4 linked regions of the Sus scrofa genome follow. The protein of the gene in region 1 interacts with the protein of each later gene in a biochemical or structural test. Links are inferred from orthologs where the notes say so. Each region holds a gene or a part of one and is shown on either strand. Other genes may lie near its edges.

The links.
Region 2: of the proteins of PTGES3 (region 1) and CASP7, one has a biochemical effect on the other in vitro, tested with the Homo sapiens proteins (2 studies listed by BioGRID and IntAct). The link is inferred for Sus scrofa from reciprocal best matches to the Homo sapiens genes PTGES3 and CASP7.
Region 3: the proteins of PTGES3 (region 1) and HSF1 form a complex in vitro, tested with the Homo sapiens proteins (2 studies listed by BioGRID). The link is inferred for Sus scrofa from reciprocal best matches to the Homo sapiens genes PTGES3 and HSF1.
Region 4: the proteins of PTGES3 (region 1) and HSP90AA1 form a complex in vitro, tested with the Homo sapiens proteins (10 studies listed by BioGRID). The link is inferred for Sus scrofa from reciprocal best matches to the Homo sapiens genes PTGES3 and HSP90AA1.

What each region holds. Positions count from the first base shown.
Region 1 is NC_010447.5:22,018,532-22,023,981, reverse strand, and holds the start of PTGES3 (prostaglandin E synthase 3), read left to right. Parts: upstream 1-2,282; 5' UTR 2,283-2,639; coding exon 2,640-2,641; exon of another isoform or gene 2,642-3,173; intron 3,174-5,450. UniProt on the Homo sapiens protein: Cytosolic prostaglandin synthase that catalyzes the oxidoreduction of prostaglandin endoperoxide H2 (PGH2) to prostaglandin E2 (PGE2).
Region 2 is NC_010456.5:124,015,885-124,021,307, forward strand, and holds the start of CASP7 (caspase-7), read left to right. Parts: upstream 1-1,985; 5' UTR 1,986-2,003; coding exon of another isoform or gene 2,004-2,009; exon of another isoform or gene 2,010-3,381; intron 3,382-5,423. UniProt on the Homo sapiens protein: Thiol protease involved in different programmed cell death processes, such as apoptosis, pyroptosis or granzyme-mediated programmed cell death, by proteolytically cleaving target proteins.
Region 3 is NC_010446.5:483,158-488,327, reverse strand, and holds the start of HSF1 (heat shock factor protein 1), read left to right. Parts: upstream 1-1,862; 5' UTR 1,863-1,880; coding exon of another isoform or gene 1,881-2,025; coding exon 2,026-2,142; intron 2,143-5,170. Other genes in the region: ribosome biogenesis protein BOP1, read right to left, coding at 478-633, 1,626-1,715. UniProt on the Homo sapiens protein: Functions as a stress-inducible and DNA-binding transcription factor that plays a central role in the transcriptional activation of the heat shock response (HSR), leading to the expression of a large class of molecular chaperones, heat shock proteins (HSPs), that protect cells from cellular insult damage.
Region 4 is NW_018084979.1:916,489-919,839, forward strand, and holds the end of HSP90AA1 (heat shock protein HSP 90-alpha), read right to left. Parts: intron 3,179-3,351; coding exon 2,988-3,178; intron 2,886-2,987; coding exon 2,738-2,885; intron 2,521-2,737; coding exon 2,252-2,520; intron 1,976-2,251; coding exon 1,642-1,975; intron 1,350-1,641; coding exon 1,240-1,349; 3' UTR 1,012-1,239; downstream 1-1,011. UniProt on the Homo sapiens protein: Molecular chaperone that promotes the maturation, structural maintenance and proper regulation of specific target proteins involved for instance in cell cycle control and signal transduction.

The sequences.
Region 1 (5,450 bases):
TTCAGGTGGCAGACTTCTCTCCCCAAAACCCTAACCATACATGTTTGAATCTAGATTTTGCTCCCTACTGGATACAGAACTTTTTGATGAATTTGAAAAAGAGATCTGATACAGTTAGCTCCCATCAGCTAATGGATGAGATTAAAGGCATGGATAAAACCAGATTACAAGTTATCTGTGAAACTTCTGAGGAGCCACTTCCAGAGCTACACTAACATGAAATCCTTTGAAATATATCCAATGGGAGTAGTAAATAAACTATAAATTATGATGCAATGGATTTGAATTTTCAGAAATTTCTTGTGTGAAAGGCAGTTTTTCTCACAGCACTTGATAGGGGAAATTGCCAGTTTTTTCAGGTTGCAGACTTTTAAATGCCTATCTTCAATTCAGTTCCATTTTCAGTTCATCTTATGTTGTTGCCAAATTAATCTTTTTAGAACACAAATGTTACTCCCATTCAAAAAAACTTCAATAGCTTCCCACTGTCATAGAAATAAGTCAAAAACAATTAGCCTGATAATTAGTGCCACCATTATTTATGACCTACCTTCCCTCTACACTCTGGATTACCTAGGTCAGAGATTGGTAAACTTTCTGCAACCACTAATCTTTGCATGGCCTTCAAGAATGATTTTTACATTTTTAAAGGGTTGAAAAAGAAAATCAGAGTTCCCATAGTGGCTCAGCAGAAACGAACCTGTCTAGTATCCATGAGGAAGCAGGTTCTATCCCTGGCCTCACTCAGTGGGTTAAGGATCTGGCGTTACTATGGCTGTGCTGTAGGCCGGGCAGCTGCAGCTCAGATTTCAACCTCTAGTCTGGGAACCTCCATATGCCGCGGGAGCAGCCCTAAAAAGAGGCTACCAGTGGAATTGGAGTTGTAGCTGCTGGCCTTCACCACACCACTGCAACTTGGGGTCTGAGCCTTGTCTGCAACCTACACCCCAGCTGACCGCAAAGCTGGATCCTTAACCCACTGAGCAAGGTCAAGGATCAAACTCGCATCCACATGGATCCTAATCCAGTTCGTTTCTGCTGAGCCAGGAAAGGAACTCCAGACTCAAACATCTTGATGTATTTTGTTTTCCGAAATAAGCAGTAGGCTCCTTAGAATGACAGTATTTTTTTTTTTTTTTTTTTTAAAGGGCTACGTGGGCAGTATATGGAAGCTGCCAGGCTAGGGGTCAAATCAGAGCTGTAGTTGCTGGCCTACCCACAGCCACAGCAAGGCCAGATCTGAGCCGCAATCTGCAACCTACACCACAGCTGATGGCAGCTCCCCACCCTTAACCCACTGAGGCTAAGGATCGAACCCGCATCCTCATGGATAATCCAGTTTGTTATTGCTGAGCCACAATGGAACTCCAGAATCACAGTATTTGAGAGCTGGGGTTTAACTTTCTTTAACAGGATTGGAGCCTAGGGTCCAATGTCTGTAGTTCCCAACACCTGCCTTGCATAGCATAGACACTAATTAATGCTGCATATGAAGCTTCCAAACACTCTCCAAAATGTCTTACGGCACTTTCCTTAAACCTCCTCTGTGTCCTAACAAGCAGCGTATTGATGTATTTCTCCCTTACTTCCCGGCTAAGCGATTTCTAGAGTGGACAAGTTACCATTTTGATTCTCTTGGTTAGTAACACCCATTAGCACCTAACCAGGTAACAGCTGAAAAAAGATGAGGTTTCCCCCCTCCCCTACAGGATCAGCCTGGAGACTCCAAGTGTCCTGGTCTCTCCATTCCCGCAAACTTAGACTCATTTAATAACTTTCCTCTCGCATCAAAGCAGGTGCGAATGCCGGTCAGCCAAAGACCTCGAATTTCCGCGGCCCCTGGACAGGTTCTCCACCCCTCAGAAAGACGGCGAGGAGGACCCAGGCCTGTGACTCAGGTTAGCCCTTTCCCTCAAATATCACCAGCGGAGGCTTTGCCCATCTTTTTGCCGTAGACTGTTTTCTCAGTGAGCCGATGTACTCCCTCAAGTAACCGATCCCCTATTTCACTTTTCAAGCCTCCAGACTCTGCGTCCATCCGCCTCGGCCTTCCTCCCTCGGTTAACGCGACAGTTTCTCGGGGAGATCGCCCAAGGCGCGTGGCAGGGCGGTTAGGCGACCAACGGTTTCCACCGCGAGGAGGGGGGAGCGGGCAAAGCGGCGGGAACCAGTCGAGCCGGAGGCAGCCGACGTGGGGCGGGGCCAGCCCCGGGAAGGATCGCGAAGGAGCTGGGAAGCCCCGCCCTTTCCGTAGATATCTCTAGAAAGCCGCGCAGGAGCCCGAAAACAAAGAGTGCGCACGCGCGGCGGCTGGGCCCGGGCATTTTGCTGCGTCACCAGCCGCCGCCCGGCCTCACCACCCCTCGCTCGCACGCACGCACGTTCATTCTCCGTTCTCGCGCCCCTTTTCCTACACTTTCCTTTTCTCCCCGACCGGAGGAGTCGCTCTGCCCGCGCGGTGCATTCTGGGAACCCAGGTCTAGCCCGCCGCGCCGCCGCCGTCGCTTGAGGGAAAAGCGAAAAGAGGCCGCAATCGGGGAGAGGACGCCAGAGTCGCCACCGGAGAGGAGTCGACTGCCTACCAGCTGCCGCCGGAGAGGCCCGCCCACCCGTTCGCCCGTCCCCTTGCCCCGTTCACGATGTGAGTGCGACACGCCACCCAGGGAAGGTCGCCCTGGAGGGAGGCCGAGGCCGCGCGGGGGGGTGCCGGGAAGCCATCCCTTCCCCTCCCCCGCTTTCGGCTCCCTCGGCTTTTTCCCCCTCGGTAGCATTCGTTCTTGCTTGGGGGTGGGAGGTCCAGTATCCTTGTTCCGGTTACCGTTGGCGGGTGGAGGACATTTTTCCTCCAGATGTCCGCTTCCCCCATCTCTAAACCTTCCCTTTGCTTCCCCGTGCCGGAAACCCCACTTTCCCCCTTCGGCAGTGAGGGCTGCTCCCAACTCTTCGTAACTTAGCCTTAGGCCTTAATCTCCTGTGAGCTTTTGGCCACGCGGGCGCCTCGGAGGCGTGGACCCTCGTGGGCTGCCACTCCGCTCCTAGCGACCTAGGTCTGCTTCTGCCGCTGTGTGATGCTGGGACCAGGCCCGGGGACAAGTGCACCTGCGGTGGGTCCTACCCCACAGCTGCTGGTGCTCTTCGTAAGGCACCACGCGGCCCTCCACTGCGAGCGACAGGTACTGCTAGGCAACTGGAGGGAGGGAGGCCATGCTGTCGCCGCAACTTACTTCCCTCTCGGTGTCGTGATTGCCAGAGTATGGGTGTTTCCAGGCTTCTTCTTAACTCAGTCTCGCGAAGGGAGTGGAGGTTGCCAAAACTCAGCCGTTTCCCTGGTAGCGAGGCTTTACAATTGAGCAGGGAGTTCTGCACTTGTTAGAGTTGAAAGATACTTAGGGATATTTTCTGTGAAACTTTAGGTGAGGTTTCGTTATCCTATTTTAATTTAAGGATGAAACAGGTAGGTAATTGCCTTTTTGTTGCCTTAAGTTTGTTTACGTGGGGGTAATTTCAGATCTTTTAAAAGTCTTAGTTTTATGATAAAGGAAAACATTTTAACCGAGTGCGGTCTCTTGCATTGCCATTCCCAGCTTTACATTCTTTTCAGGAAAAGCCTTACCTTTTCAGATGTGAGAACTGCCTATTTTACAGTTTTTTGGTACCACGTACTCCTGAAAGTTACCTATGGAGATCAATTGAGGGGAAGAATTTTTATTTCTATAAAAAGTAATGGATTTTCAAGGGTTTACCTAGTAAAATGGTGATATTTGTGGTGAGTATATTGAATTAGATGTCTAAATGAATAAGGATACACTGTAGCCAATTGATGGAGAAGAAGGTTTGAGAAGAATGCATGTATTACTGTAAAATGACATGTTAGAATTTTGGAAGGATTTCCCCCATCCCAAGAAGTGGTATGTAATAGAAGACTTTAATCTGTGTAAAAGAACTTGTACTTTTCTTTTTGAAATTTCTATTCCAAATAATGTAGCAGGATTGTCATTTGTGAGAAAATGAATCTGGAGATAAAGCATTACCAACTTTTAGTAAACTAATGTAGCGGAACAAGAAATATCTTTATATGAAGAGATAACATGTTTAATACGGTTTGAAGTAGAAACACTTTTCAGAGATCATGTAGAATTGGTAAATAGGTAAGAAATGTTAAGTTATATAAAGAACTCAATGAAAAGTCTAACAATCAGTATTCCAAAAAGCAATCTATAATTAGAAGAATGCTATTTTGAAAATGAGTGTTTTGAAGAGACCAGGTAAATTTTACTCTGTTTAGTCAATATATGACATCTTGCAAATTCTTTAGGGGATCTTATTAATTAATGACTGAATGAATTTACAAGATGAATATTACCAGTCAGTTACTTGAGCTGGAGAAGACTTTTATTTTTGTTGTTGTCTTTTCTAGGGCCGCACCCCAAGCATATAGAGGTTCACAGGCTAGGGGCCTAATTAGAGCTGTAGCTGCCAGCCTACATCAGGGCCACAGCAACTCGGGATCTGAGCTGCGTCTGCACCCTACACCACAGCTCACAGCAACGCTGGATCCTTAACCCACTGAGCAAGGCCAGGGATTGAACCCGCAACCTCATGGTTCCTAGTCTCGGGTTCGTTAACCACTGAGCTACAGCGGGGACTCCGGAAAAGACTTCTAATGGGTCATCCAGCTCTAGAGAGAATCTGGCTGATGAAGATTCATTTTGTTGGGTTCTATAAACTTTTTTTTTAGCTGTGGAGAGACTTTTTGCTTTTTAAGGCTGCACCTGTGGCATCTGGAGGTTACCAGGCTAGGGGTTGAATCAGTTACAGATGCTGGCCTACGCCACAGCCATAGCAAATGCCAGGCCTGAGCCTGGTCTGCTGCCTACACCACACAGCTCATGGCAATGCCATGTCCTTAACCCACTGAGTGAGGCCAGGGATCGAATCTGCAACCTCATGGTTCCTAGTCGGATTCGTTTCTCCTGGGCAAGGCTGGGAACTCCTGGAGAGACTTTTATGCTGGACATCTTGAAGGTTTTAGAGTGTATTTTTTTATCATGTGATTGCTCTTCAGTCATGATTTTCTAGGTAGATTTCTTTTAATCAAGTTTTTAAGTTTTGTCCAATAGTTTGCATAAAAGCTCTCTCAACTGGAGAAGGCTGGGATTTTAGGACTGCTCCTTTTAAGACCAGCTCAAATCCCCTGCAGGGGGTGCTACTTTATCTCCTTTCTTTTTTTTTTTTTTTTTAGTTATTTTAACTCTAATTTTAGGTTGGACCTATTTATCTAATAACACGAGATGTAAGATAAAATGGTTATGAGCTATTTGAGGTCATTCTTTTTGGTATCTTGTACTTAAAGTAACGAATGGTCAGAGACAAACAGCATCGCTGGCATTGGTTAAAATCTTACTTTGCTTTACTAAGTGAAGTAAGTCAGAAAGAGAAAGTCAAATACC
Region 2 (5,423 bases), on another chromosome or scaffold:
CCTGAATCCAGCCCTTGGAAATCATCTGAACAATGGAGATGGGGATTTTTCTGGAGTGAAGAGGAAGACACAAGCTCTAAAGTTTGGAAAGGAGGCATAAAACAATGACATGGACCGAGGCTGGAGAAACACAGGAAATACAATTAGAATAGAATATCATTTGGATCTAAAGGGTTAGTACAATTATTATAGAGGGAAAAGTTCAAAATTGTTTCTTCCCTTTCATGTATCTATGATTTTAGTTGTTGGTACTGTGATAATTCAGCCTCGGAGCAATAAGAGAACTACACTACAGAACTGAAAAAAGAAAGTTTTCTTTATGACGCAGCATGATAATGTGAGAAAAAAGAATGTATACATGTATGTGTGACTGGGTCACCTTGCTGTACAGTAGAAAATTGACAGAACACTGTAAACCAGCTATAATGGAAAAAAATAAAAATCATTAAAGTAAAAAATAAAAAAAGAAAGTTTTCCTTAAAATCATCTTCCTATCTGAGCCAGCAACGAATTCCTGTGTGTGACACATGTAAACAAAATTGCTTCATATAATCTATGGTAGACCTTTCTTGTGGATGGAAAATACATTATTTTTCTAGGCAACCTGATCCTGGTTCTGCCACTAGCATGCCTGTAGTGTGGACAACCTCTCTGAGCCTCAGATTCTGTATCTATAATACCAGCAGAGGGATTAGTTGTGAAGGTGGCTCCCATATCTAACACCGTGTTTCATCTTATTTCACGAATAACCTGCAAAACTTGAATTCATAAATGCGATAAATCATAGGGTAACCTATTTGCCCTACTAATAGGCTTTTTATTCCATTTCTCAAATGATTCACCACTGAATTCCTTCAAAAAGAAAATTAACTCTGTGTCTACCATGACTTGGCTCGCCTTGACATTTCAGAAACATGGCTGTTAAAGAAAAGAGTAGCGCAGCCTGTCTTAGTCTGTTCTGGCTGCTATAACAAAAGACAGAAACTGAATAGCTTATAAACACCAGAAACGTATTCTTCACAGTTCTGGAGGCCAGAAGGCTAAGATCAGGGTGCCAGCATGGTTGGGTTCTAGTCAGAGCCCACGTTGGGGTAGCCGACTGCAATTTCTATGTCCTCACATGATAGAAAAGGCCAGGATGCTCAGCCTGGCCTCTTTTATCAAGGCACTAATCCCACTCACCAGGGCTCCACCTTCCTGATTTAAGCACCTCCCAAAGGCCCCCACCTCCTAATGCCATCATTTTGGAGATTTAGTTTCAACATAGGAATTTGGCAGGGAGGTAGGTGGCCCAAACAACCTATAGCACATCCATAGTGGAAATAGTGTAACTGCCTGTTTGAAATATTCAGGAATTCAGGATTCTGGCAGAAGGTAATAAATTATAATCACTCCCTTACACTTGCCTGCGGCCAGTCTTCCTTAAATCAAGGAAGCGTCCTTACCTGGTAAGATATTATGGACGATATTGAAGTCTCAGGCCCAGGGGACAGCAAACAAAAAGACGAGATGCGTTCTTGCCTAATGATGCACGACGAAGAAGGTTCGTTCCTTTCACTGAAGGCGTTGATAGTTCTTTCAAAGCAAACATCTCTGGTATGAATAAAACTGTCAGGTCTCCTTAGCTATTTACACTTCAGTGTAACTGCATGCATAAGCTGCTCCCCCGAGGAATCTTGGAGAGCAAGGCCTTGGAGGCCTCAGCTGGAGGTCCCAGGTTGAATAAAGACAAAAGTGGGAGCATGCATGGGTGTTGGGGGACCTGGGGATGCAAGGCTGGGGGTTAGGTGGCACGAGTGAAAGTACCATATTAGACTCTCTCCCGTTTTAGACTAACTCATGGCCAAGTACCCAGTGGCTGACACATGAGGGCGCTCAATAAATAGTCCATGAATGATTCTGGCGCTACGTCCCGGCCAGCAGGCTCTGTTAAGAGGTGTGGACGTGCTCTGCAGAAAACTGTTAGTTCCTGCCGCCCACGCGTGAGGAAGGCGCGTCAGCGAATGGAAGCAAGTTCTGAGCGGCAGGAGACCACGGCGGCTCCCTCGGCTGGCCCTAGGGAGACGGTAACTCAGGAAGATGCGGGCACCCAGTCCCCCGCATAGACGATCAGGGTCAGGATTTGGCTGAGGAGGAGCCGTTGGGCCTTTGGAACAGGTCCCAGGGCCGGTGCGGAGGCCGAAGTCGCGGTGTAGACCGGAGGCAGCGGGAGGGCAGGAAGGTGGACTCTGACCAGCGCCCCATTATCAAGCGCCGCGAAGTCGGCAGGGCGCACTCTTCAGTCCGCCCGACTGGGACGCTGCGTGCGCCGGGTCTGCGGAGCGCGCCCTTCAGGTCACTTGGAGCGCAGTGGACGCTGCAGAACTTTCTCCTGGAGATTGCGCGCGCAGCTCCGGGACCCCTGTGGATCTCTGCAAACTTTGCCCAGGACGCGTCCGGTGCGCGCGACCAGCTTTGCCTGCCGAGGGCGCCCTCCGCGACGACGCGCGCGACCGTGAGAGCGCGCCCTCCCCGACGGGGCGCGGCGGCGCGGTGGTCCCGCGCGCGGCCGACTCTGAGAAGCGCGGGGTCCCGAGTCGGAGGCGGGGCCCGCAGCCCCGCCCGCCGGGTCGGCGTCCTGCCCGGGGCGACTCCTCCCCTGGCCGCGTTGCGGCTTTACTTTCGCTTTCGTTGGAGCGGCCGCAGACCCTCGGGGCGGAGGGACTGAGACAGCACCAGTTCTGGACGCCGTGGGAACGGTAACTTCGGCCGCCGCGCTTCCGCCCTGCCCTCCTTTCGCCCGCGTTCTCCCTGGCCGTCCGGCTGCCCTCGCTCCTGCCACCCCGAGCGCCGTCGGTGGGATTCGATCCCCAGGGACTGGGCGGCCCCGACGGCTCCACTGAACTTGAGGGAGAGAGCTCTGCCCGCCCCCAACATCACTTGCTTGCTCAGCTTGTCCCTCCCTTCCCTCCTAGTCGCCGGGCTTGGGTCACCGGTGCTCTTCGGGATTTGGCAGAGAAGGGGGGATGGATTTGGAAGGGTGGGAAGGGCCTGGGCTGGCTAACAGTGAGAGCTCCCTTGTGGGGCAGCCGTGGGTTCAGTCCCCCCCTCCCCCCCACTCTGTTTCTCTGCTGTGAGGCCTTGGCCCTCTCTGTGCCCGTCTGTGTAATGGGGATAGTGGTGGGCCCGGGGTGGCGGCTGCTGCGAGGATGGAGTGAGGGGGTTGGGGCGCAGAGCAGTGCTGTCAGGGTGTGTAAGCTCCTGTCATCCCCTCATCACTGTGCCTGGTGCAGGGCGCTGGAAGATTCTTTGAGGAAGTGGAAGAAGGCAGGACTCTCAGGCTGCAGCTCTTCGCCGTTGTATTCACCTTTGGCTTTTGTGGGGCAGTAAAATTATTTGTGGGTGAGTCTAGTGAGTCATTCCCAAGCTTTCTCCCTTGAACTCCTGGGCTGGCTAAGGGCATGGCCCTAAGGTTTGTTTGCTTACAGACTGTTTCCTCCTTCAGGGTCCACAGCCAGACTTTCATCTAGGATAGCCAGCCACTGTCTAGGTTCATAATTCACTTCTGTCTTCTATTAGCTGTGTGGTTTAGGGCAGGTTACTTAATCCCTCTGAGGAAACCAAAGTTTCTTCAATACAGGATCAAGGCTCCAGCTTCCTAGCAGTCGTGTATCAGTTGTCAGTGGAGTACTTCAGTGCCCAGCAGAGCCCTCTCCTTCCCCAGATGCTGGAGGTGAGAGGTGGAGGTCCTGTGGGCTTCTTCTCTTGGAGCCTTTTAGGGTGATTGTCTTCACTGGGACACAAGTGAGGTACCAGTCGTGTTGTGTCATTTTCCAGGGGAAGCAGCTGCAAAGAAATTCAGACAATGGCTGGGAGGTGACCTGTACCAGTCACCTATGAAGCTGTGTGTGGAAATAATTGCTAGAGGAGTGTTCTGTTTCAGTTTCCACAAAAGGTGCTTAAAACATGAATGTGATTTCAAGGTACTGGTGAGGGTTGACAGTTGGCTGTTGCCTTAGTCTTGAGTTCTGCGGAGAGCGGTGATAACAGGGAATATTTATTGAAGGTTTAGACACCATGTTTAGCATTTTACATGCATCGTTTTGTTCATCCTCAGAGTCACATGTGACTTAGGCATCACCGTTTTCCCATTTTACAGATGAGGAGACTGAGGCTTAGAGAGATTGAGTAGTTTGTTCAATGTCTGTGGCTAATAGATGGAGGCACTGATCGAACCTTAGATCTTTGGTTCATCATGACTGGGCTCTCAAGCATCCTCAAGCATCCTCCTGGATCTCTTTGGTTCTGTTGTCTGTCCCATATCAACAATTTATTCAGGGCTGTGAAAGATTTAAAGTTTTTAAGTATATTTCAGTTTTCACATTGATAAAGAAATTTTCGTTGAGTGCCTACTGTGCACCTGGCACTTTTCTTTGACTGGAACTAAAAAAAAAGGATGTTTAGGAGAAGCTCTCAGCCTACAAAAAGACCCTAGTGGATAATAGTGAAAGTATCCATAATCACTGAGTGCTTACGGAGAGTGCCTGTAACAGCGCCAGCACTGCTAATGCTTTAAGTGTTTTATATGTCAATTTATTTAAAGAGAATATAGATGTGTTTAACAATTGAATAAGCAATTATCTGTTGAATAACTGCCTGCTCCTTGCAGTCTGAGTCTTACGAAGGGAACAGATAAAAGCAAATAATGCCAGGCAGGCCTTCTCCAGGCACAGCTGACCGAGATAGGCCTGGATTGTCTTGGGCTGTGGAGATGAGTGGAAATAAAAGGGCATCACAAAGTCTTGGCTTGACTGAAACGATGTGACCAAGATGAGGCACCCCACTCAGTCACCACTCTCATTCTGGGTGAACTCGATTTCACCCAGAAATGAAGCCCAGCCTCGTAGGAATAAGAAAGGCACTGCATGATTAGCCTTAGAGATTTAAGAGTAAAGTCCCACACTGTCATGCTGGGGACACACACCGTGGCAACTTCTTAGAAGGGACTCTAGCTGCAGCCTCCTCCCCAGCAGACAGTGTTCAGCATCAGCCCAGAAAGACAGGTTTCAGATAGAAAACCCATCTGATCTGGTGTCTGCAGAACCTCCTATCCCTGAGCTGTAGAAGAAATCAGCCTGTAGCTAAGGCCCAAGCCCCCTCTGAGTGGCTGGAAAGGATGAGGGGTTTATGCTGCACCCCTCATTGATGGAGCTTATCAGATATTTAATGAGGGTGCAGTTCCCTGTGCCTCCCTTGCACCCCCCCTTCTCTGCTTCCCCTCCTCGGATCTCAGGTCAGACATTTGCTCCCCTGAGAACCCTCCCTAATTCCTCTGGGGCTCAGTCGGGTCCCCTACTGTGGCCACAAGTTGTTGGTCCTTATGGTTCAACATTTGTGCCACCCATTTATCAAGGCCTATCTCCCAGTGAGGCAGGGCCGGGACT
Region 3 (5,170 bases), on another chromosome or scaffold:
ATAAACTTTTTCCTGGGTGTCCCAAACGACAGACATCACACTTGAGTTAAATCAAGCTTTTCTCTCGCGTTTCTCACTTAAAACAAGAGTGGGATGAGCCTTCCCCAGCGTCACAGCGACAGATTACAAAGCCTCGGGGTTGGGGGGTGGGGACCAGAGCGCCCCCAGCTGCCCCAGGCGGCCCCCAGCACGCAGATCTCCACCTCAGGCTTTGCCCCCTAGGAAACCCAGCCTCCAGCTAAGTCTAGCAAAGACTCAGCCCGGGAAGGGTGACATCAGAATCACGGTGGGTGGCTCACAGCCATGGAGATTTTCCGGGTTCCTACTGCGGTTGAAAACTGGTGCCCTAGGGCTCAGAACCCCCCCCCCCCGCACCAGAGGAAAGAGAAAGCAGAGCCCGCGAGCTGGCAGGCACTCTCCCGGCCACCCGCCCGGAGAGCGAGGACGAGCACACCAGAACACTGCTCGCTCACCCACCTGCTGCCCCGTGGCCTTCTCCATCCTGCTGTGCTGCTCCTCGCCGCTGGCCCCGTCCTCCTCCTCACTGCTGTCACTGCCAGAATCTTCCAGGCCTGAGAACACACTCTCCTCGCTGTCAGACAGGCTGGGAGCCGGGGCGCCGGGGAGAGAGGGCTGCAAGGAGCACACTGTCGGTGACCAGCTCTGTGTGGCGCAGGACCAGAGCTGCTTCTGAGCAGACTTCTGCCCACCAGACACCACCCCGGCCCTAACTCCACCAGACAGGGTGCACGGTGGAACAAGAACCTGCAGACTCTTAGCAAGCATTCATTGGAAGGCAAAATTCTAGATTTCATTGTTTTTCAATAGTTCCTGAGTCTCTCGCCAAACTGGACAGCCTGCACGGAGCAGCTACCAAACAGCACTCAGCACACACTCTATCGTGCCTAACTAGCTACACAATTACAACGGCAAGTAAAAATGGCACAAATGTTTTGGGCACAAACACAAACAGCCGCTGATGAATACAGAGGCAAAAGCACTACAAGTGGGTGAGCATGGTGCCCAGAGCTGCCTGCCGGCCAGGGAGCACCACGAGCACTTGTCACAAGTGAAGGGGCAGCCTGATAAACCAGCAACGTGGAGTCCCAGCTGCGAGGCTCGACTGCACAAGCCTGCTATGGCTTTCTACCACCGAGATTTGATGAGATTTGATGACACCCCCACAGCGCGGCTGGGGTTCCGCTGGACAGGAAGAGCATGAGTCCAGCTAAAACGGGCCGTCCAGTGCAGCAGGCGCTGCTTTCTCATCCTCGTTTCCTCTTCTACAACGTCTAACGTGTCAGGAACATTTGGCTATACAAGCAGCTACTGCAGGCTCAAATCTTCTGCGCCCAGATGACAATTCAAAGGCCCAGGAAGACCGCTGCGCAGGACGCCGGCTCTCCTTCCTTATTCTCTCCGGCCCAGACCTTCTTCCGACCCACACAACCGCCAGCCAGCTCCCTGCCCAGGACGCCCCCGCAAGGCCGCCGGGGCGGAGGACAGGAGACCCCTCCCTCCTCGCATTCCCAGGCCCGCCGGGCGCTGGGCGGGATCGCTCCCCGGCCGGTGCCGCGGCCCAGCCCCGCCGCCCCCCCCCGCTCCCGCTCCCGCTCCCGCGTCACCTCCTCCGGCTCCCGCCCCGGCTCCAGCATCCGCTTCCCGGGCCGCGTCCCGGCCACCGCCACGCGCCGCGCGCCCTGAGGTCCCGCCATGCCGCCCGCCGGTCTGCCCTGCGCCGCCACTTCCGGCAGCGACGCGACCGCGTGGGCCTGGGGGCGGGCCCGCGGGGTCAGAGGGCGCCGGGCGGGACGGGGGCCGGTGTGCGTGCGCGCGCCGTGGGACGCGGGCGGCGCCGGCGGGAGCGCGCCCGTCGCAAGATGGCGGCGGCCATGCCAGGCCCCGGGGCCGTGTGTGCGCAGCGGGCGGCGGCGCGCGGCCCGGGCGGCAGGCGCGGCAGCGGCGCTAGCCCGGCCCTCAGCCCCTCCTCGCGGTCCCGCCTCCGCCTCTCCCACCTTGCCCGGTATGGATCTGCCCGTGGGCCCGGGCGCGGCGGGGCCCAGCAACGTCCCGGCCTTCCTGACCAAGCTCTGGACTCTCGTGAGCGACCCGGACACGGACGCGCTTATCTGCTGGAGCCCGGTGAGGGGCCGAGGGCGCCGGCCCGGGGCGGGGAGGCCGCGGCGCGGGGGCCCAGGACGGGCAGGCCCGGACCCCGCCTCGCAGGCCCGGTGTGGGGGTGGGGAGCAGGGGGTAGTGCGGGGAGAAGCGTCGCAGGCCCGCTGGAGGTCGCTCCTGTCCACGCCGCTCTCCCGCGTTGGGTAGGAAGGGCTTCTGCCTCCGTGGGCTTGCGCTTGCTGCCTGTGGGACGACTGCGGGACGCGTCTGTGCTTAGAACAGCCCCCGGCTTCGCTAGTGGACGCTGGGCCCCGGTGGCCCCAGAGTTCCAGTGGTGTGGTGGGCAGTTATTCAGGGTAAATCAAGTCTCGGCCCTGGAACTGGAGGGCGTTTCTCTAGTTCGAAAGGAGAGGGAGCGAAAACAGAAAGCACAACGTCATAAAGTTCAGGCTGGTCTCGAGCCCGGGTCCAGATCCCAGAGCTGCTTTCCCAAGAGCGACTCGTGTTTCTTGCTCTGTGCGCGACTTTATTCACGCCCTGTCTCCCGTTGCCTGGCAGCGGGCAGGTGATTTACATGGTCTGACTCCGCAGGCTGGACAACTCCAGTTTGCGGAGGTTGGACTTGGAGATGGACGTCCTGGCTGTGACGTCGAGGTGGGGCAGGTCGGAGCCACGGCTCGCGGCTGGCAGGGGGGTGGCCTAGGCCACCGTAGTCGTAGGCAGGCTCCGGGCGCCTCCAAACGTGCTTACTCTCCTGAGCGCCCAAACGCTGGATTTCTTGGACCCCACTGAGTTGTTGCCTGTCATCCTGCTGAGCCCTTGGAAAGGAAGAGCAGTCTGGGCTGAAAGGAGCCCAGAGCTGGAGGCCACGTTCTCTCGTTCCACTTGTCCCTTTGAGGAGACCAGAAACCGTGCTGCATTCCCTTGGGGACACTGTGTGTTGTCCCAGCAAATATCCATGTGGCGTTCTCCATCCCAGGCCCTGTTTCTTTAACGGTGGGAACCACCCCTTGTTCCAGGCCTTGAACTTTGCCGGCCAAATGAAATGACCCCATTTTTCTGTCTTTTTCCCTTCTCCCTCTTCTTGTCCCTTCCCCGTAACTCCCGTTTGGGGGAGGGCACCAGAGGTCCTTTGGGATGAACCTACTGTGGGGACATCCCGCCTCTCAGTCTGCTCCAGGCCAGGCGAAGCACAGCCAGCGTCAGCTTGCTCCCCAGGCCTCACGGCCTGTATTCCAGGCAAAGCCTGGAGCAGGAAAGCGGACATGGTCCAGCCCGTGATGGTCTCTACTCAAGGTGGCTGCGCCCCCAGGCATGGTCTCCCTGGGGACAAGCGGCCATGGAGCAAGAGCTTTTGATCCTCCTTAGTCTGTACACAGAGCGAGTAGGGTGTGCTTGGTGCAGGACGCAGTGGGGCTGGCCCTGAGAAAGGAGACCAGCCCCTGCCTGGGGCCGGCAGGGTGCCCACAGGACCCCCGGGCCTCTGTCTCAAAGTCCGCTTGGAGCCCTTTGCCGACTCGCAGCCTGGAGTCCTGCTGTCGGAGGCCCCGGACAGGTCTGACGCCTGTGCCCTTGGCCCTTCCCCTTTGTGCTGGAACTTTGCTCATTGTTCCACCAGGAGAAAACCTCTGCCTGTGGCCCAGGGAATGAGGGGGAGGAGGAGGTGCAGTGGTCGACTCTGTGGTCTGCGTGATGCATGACCACGGGCGGGTGCCAGCCCTGGGAGCTGGGGCCGGCCAGCGGGTCGCTGCTCCAGAGGCACGTGTTGGTTTGCCCGCCCTTCCAAAGCCTTGTCCCGTCAGATGCGCCCCGTGCGGCGCCACGGCTGAATAGGCAAGGGCTCCCGCGGGAGGGGACTTGGTGACCGGGAGTGTGGCCTTGGGAGTGCTACCACCACGCCCCCTGGGACATAATGGGAGTCAGACCCTTCTGGCCAAGACTGAGGGCCTCTTTCTCCCAGGAACCGGACCTTGCCAAGGCCACCAGCCCAGGTGGCCCAAGTGAGTGCCACACTCAGGGATCGCTTGAGAGGGGCTAGTGTCCAGGTGGAGCACGGTCTCCGTGGTCAGGTCCCCAGCTCCCTGTGAAACCCCTGGCCACTCCAAGCTGGCAAAGGACCATTTCCAGAGACCCCAGGACAGGCAGGGCCGCCCTCTCCCCTGCCCGGAGCCAGGCGGGCCCCACCAGCCTGCTGAGCTGGTCCTCCGTGCAGGAGCCCGCAGTTGCCCCCGTGCTGGCTTCGAGGGCCACTGCAGAGCCTGGAGGTTCCCGGGGTCCCTGCACCTGATGAGCGTGCGTGGCCGCCGAGCAGGCCTCTGCCTGCCGCAGCCAAACCTTTTCCACACGGAGCCTGTCGCGCCTCCCATTGCCCTGCACGAAGGTGAAGGTGGCCTTTTTACAGACGCGAAACCTGAGCCTCGGAGGTGACAGGAAACGCGAGGAAGACCCTGAAGTGCACAGGCCCTTTGCCCGCCTGCCCCACCGACCGCGCTCTGACCGCGCCGAGTGTCGAGTCTCCAGTCGGGCGTGGGGTCCAGCTCGGGCTCCACCCCCCCACCCCGCGGTCTTAGCCGGGCCCGGCCGCACGTGGCTGACCAGCGCCCGGGGGTTTGTAGAGTTGTATTTTGGATTTTTACACGAGAGTCCGCCTTTCACCTCCCGCACAGACAGACAGATGTATGCGTGGACGGACAGACAGACAGACGGACGAGACGGGCAGAGATCCATGAAGGACAGGCTCTGTGCGTGGCCTCCCAGTCTGTTTCCTCCGCCGCCTGGGTGCTGGGGTGCGAGGGGCGCCGTCAGAGGGGCTGGCGGTCTGGGCACGGCCGCCTTGGAGGGAGGGTGGATGCACACAGCTCGCCTGGCTCCGCCGGACCCACGGGTGCTCAGAGGGCTTTGGTACCGCACCGGGGTTGGCGGGGAGGTGGCCAGGGCCCACGGGATCCTCTCGGAGTAAACAGTCAGCTCCCGTCAGGTGTCACGGACGCCCCAGAACCTGCACCCTTGGCTGCAAGATTTCTTTGAGGTTTGAGGTCTGAAGGGAGGCGGG
Region 4 (3,351 bases), on another chromosome or scaffold:
TACCCTCCTTCAACGAAGGATTAACTGTGATTACCATTCACTTACCAAGCACTAACTAGGCCCACTGAGCACTAAGTGACAGGCCTCTCACACCACGAACCCCAGTCCGCTCCCTCCCCCCGTTAATCACTGTCACTTCTCACATGGAGCCTTAAGCTCAGGATCCAAATCCTAAGAAGGAAGGGCACGGATGGTGTCAGATGGGACGGTCTTTAAGCCTCGTAAAGGGCTTTCGGCTGCTCCAACGGCCAGGGCAGTGAGAGCTGTGTTTAGAGCATCAGCTGTCTCTACAAACACCTCCAGACAGTGCAGACGGGAGACTCCCAAGGGAGAGCGGGGCTTAGAAAACACATGGGAAGGCCACCTTGCTGGAGTCCCCCTTCTCTCCCGGATTCGGGCCCACCCCCTGCCACCTGTATGTGCCCCGGGAGTCACACCGCTGAGACCGAGGGCGGCCAGCGTGAACCATCTTCTGCCCAGCCTCCCCCACGCAGGCAGGGCGTGTGCCGCCCCAGGTCTGATATCGCGGGACCACCCTGGATCTTCCACCCGCCTGGCCCCCCGACAAGACATGTTCACACCGTGTCTGTTTAATTCATCTGTATTTGTTTCAACTCCGGAAGCAGAATGCGACTTCGGCGCTACATCTCCACTCACGACGCTTGCAGAGTTACTTCTCAAACAGCTTTACCACATGCCTAGGTGGGCTTTTGACTTCGGGTCCCTAAACATTACATTTCTTTGGAAACAAGCCCTAAGGATAGCTACTCCCATCAACGGGGTTCATCCTAACTCCTAGAGGACTGATACATGCAGTCAACAGCTACAGGGGATGGGAGGTTTCAAAGGTAGAGCCCAAATCTACTCGTTGCTTGAACAAGTATTTTTCTCCTAAACATCAAGATATACTCCACAACACTTCAGTGACAAAAGGTGGTCAACTAAGGAATCCGCTTGAGAGCTGAACACAGACCAAGAAGTTAACATCAGGGTACACACACCTCACAGCACGAGGGCCGTCTGTTAAAGAAGCCAACTGGAACTAGGAAAGGACAAGCTCGGCTTTAGTGCTCAAATGTCACAGTGTCACACTTAGTACAAAGGAATCTTATTTTCCCTTAAGGAACTGTCATGCCATACAACCTTTAAATGTTAACAAAAATAAAATACTTGAAAATATATCGTCAGAGGGAATGCAGACAGCGTTTTAACAGGGGACAAGCAAGCCTCAGGCGGAGCCTAATCGACTTCCTCCATGCGGGACGTGTCGTCGTCCCCTTCCAGGGGTGGCATCTCCTCCGTCACAGCAGCGCTGCTGTCGTCGGCGGTGGGGTCGTCCTCATCAATACCTTTTTGGAGATAAAACCCGTGTTTTAGATCTCTTGAGGCCAGCTCATCAGCCTAATACTGCAGGTTTGTGGCTGAGCCGTCACAGCATCTATGAACCTGTTTTTTATTCCTTAGAAATGAAAAACCCATCTATCTACCCCCTTAAACTCTGAGGACTTCAGCGCTTCCTCCCCCAAATGAACTGGAATAGCCCAATTTCACTCAAATTGCTGGCAGCCCCCCCTTTCCAGTCGCCGGGTTCCTTCCCTGACGGTGTTGCGCACGGCACCTGCAGAACGGCGGGCGGCTTACCAAGACCAAGTTTGATCATCCTGTAGATCCTGTTGGCGTGCGTCTGGGGATCTTCCAGGCTGAAGCCAGAAGACAGCAGAGCGGTTTCGTACAGCAGGATGACCAGATCCTTCACGGACTTGTCGTTCTTGTCCGCCTCTGCCTTTTGCCTCAGGGTCTCGATGATGGAATGGTCTGGATTTATCTCCAGGTGCTTCTTTGCTGCCATGTAACCCATTGTCGAGTTGTCTCTCAGGGCTTGAGCCTTCATGATTCTCTCCATGTTTGCTGTCCAGCCGTATGTGCTTGTGACAATGCAGCACGGTGAGGTCACCAACCGGTTCGACACAACCACCTGTGAACGAGACATTAAGTGGTAACTGGGCCTCGAAAAAGCTTACCTAACTCCTCAGAACCTGTCATCAGCTTTAACAGGAAAAATTTTAACTCAACTACTATTGAATTAACAGTTGAATCAAAATTAAACACAGATGCTCACAGCTTTCTTCCTAGAGCTTCTGCACTTTTCAGATCTTTAAAAGCTACTTGTGACCTCCTGAACAGACAACTAACCCCTCCTGAGGAAGGCCCACAACTAGGAGATCTAAGTGGGAAACGTATGGTCACACACCTTTTCGACTTTCTTCTCCAAGATGTCCTTCATGATCTTGCAGAGGTTTTCAAACTTTGTCTTCTTCTCCTCCTGTTTCTTCTTCTCCTCTTCATCTTCCGGGAGCTCCAGGCCCTCTTTGGTGACTGACACTAAGGTCTTCCCCTCAAACTCCTTCAGCTGCTGCACACAGTACTCATCGATGGGCTCGATCATGTAGATCACCTCCAGGCCGTGCTTCCGCAGACGTTCCACGAAGGCCGAGTTGGCCACCTGGTCCTTGGTCTCACCTGAGATGTTCGAAAGTTTAAGACTGTTCACAGGAGGTGGCTGCATCTCCTGTCTTTCCCTACATAATCAGATCTTTCTTTCTACAGATGAAGATTAGCTCTCACTGCCTAAATCAACACCTAACTCACACGCAGCACCATGTGGGTAGAGAACTCCCAGCTGTTCCTATGGAATCCCAGAGCAAGAGGCATGACGATTACACCCATCTCGCCTTACCTGTGATGTAATAGATGTGTTTCTGGTTCTCCTTCATTCTGGTGCAATAGTCCTTGAGGGAAACCATCTCGTCGCCAGAAGCAGAAGTGTAGTACCTCAACAGCTCGGAAAGCTTCTTCCGATTTTGAGAATCTTCATGTATTCCAAGCTGAAACAAACAATGGTAGCTTCAACAAAACTTGGCCTTAAAAACAAATTCATTGAAAAGGAGAAGTAGTTTGGTTACAGCTGTTGTCACACGATTACCTACCTTAATATTTTTAGAGAACTGCTCATAGAACTTCTTGTAATTCTCTTTATCTTCGGCCAATTCAGTAAAGAGCTCCAAGCATTTCTTGACCAGATTCTTCCTGATGACTTTCAAAATTTTGCTTTGTTGCAACATCTCACGAGAAATGTTCAGAGGAAGATCCTCAGAGTCCACCACGCCTCTAATGAAATCTGGAAAAGCATGCCAAATGCACTCAAAATCACTCCGACAAAAATCAACAAACAGCTAAACCCAAAGAGAACGCAGTTTTCCCCATGCATTTCCAAGTCTGGAATTCCGTCTCTGGTGGCACAGTGGGTTAACGATCTGGCAACGCACTGAAGTAGCTCGGGTCTCTGCTGTG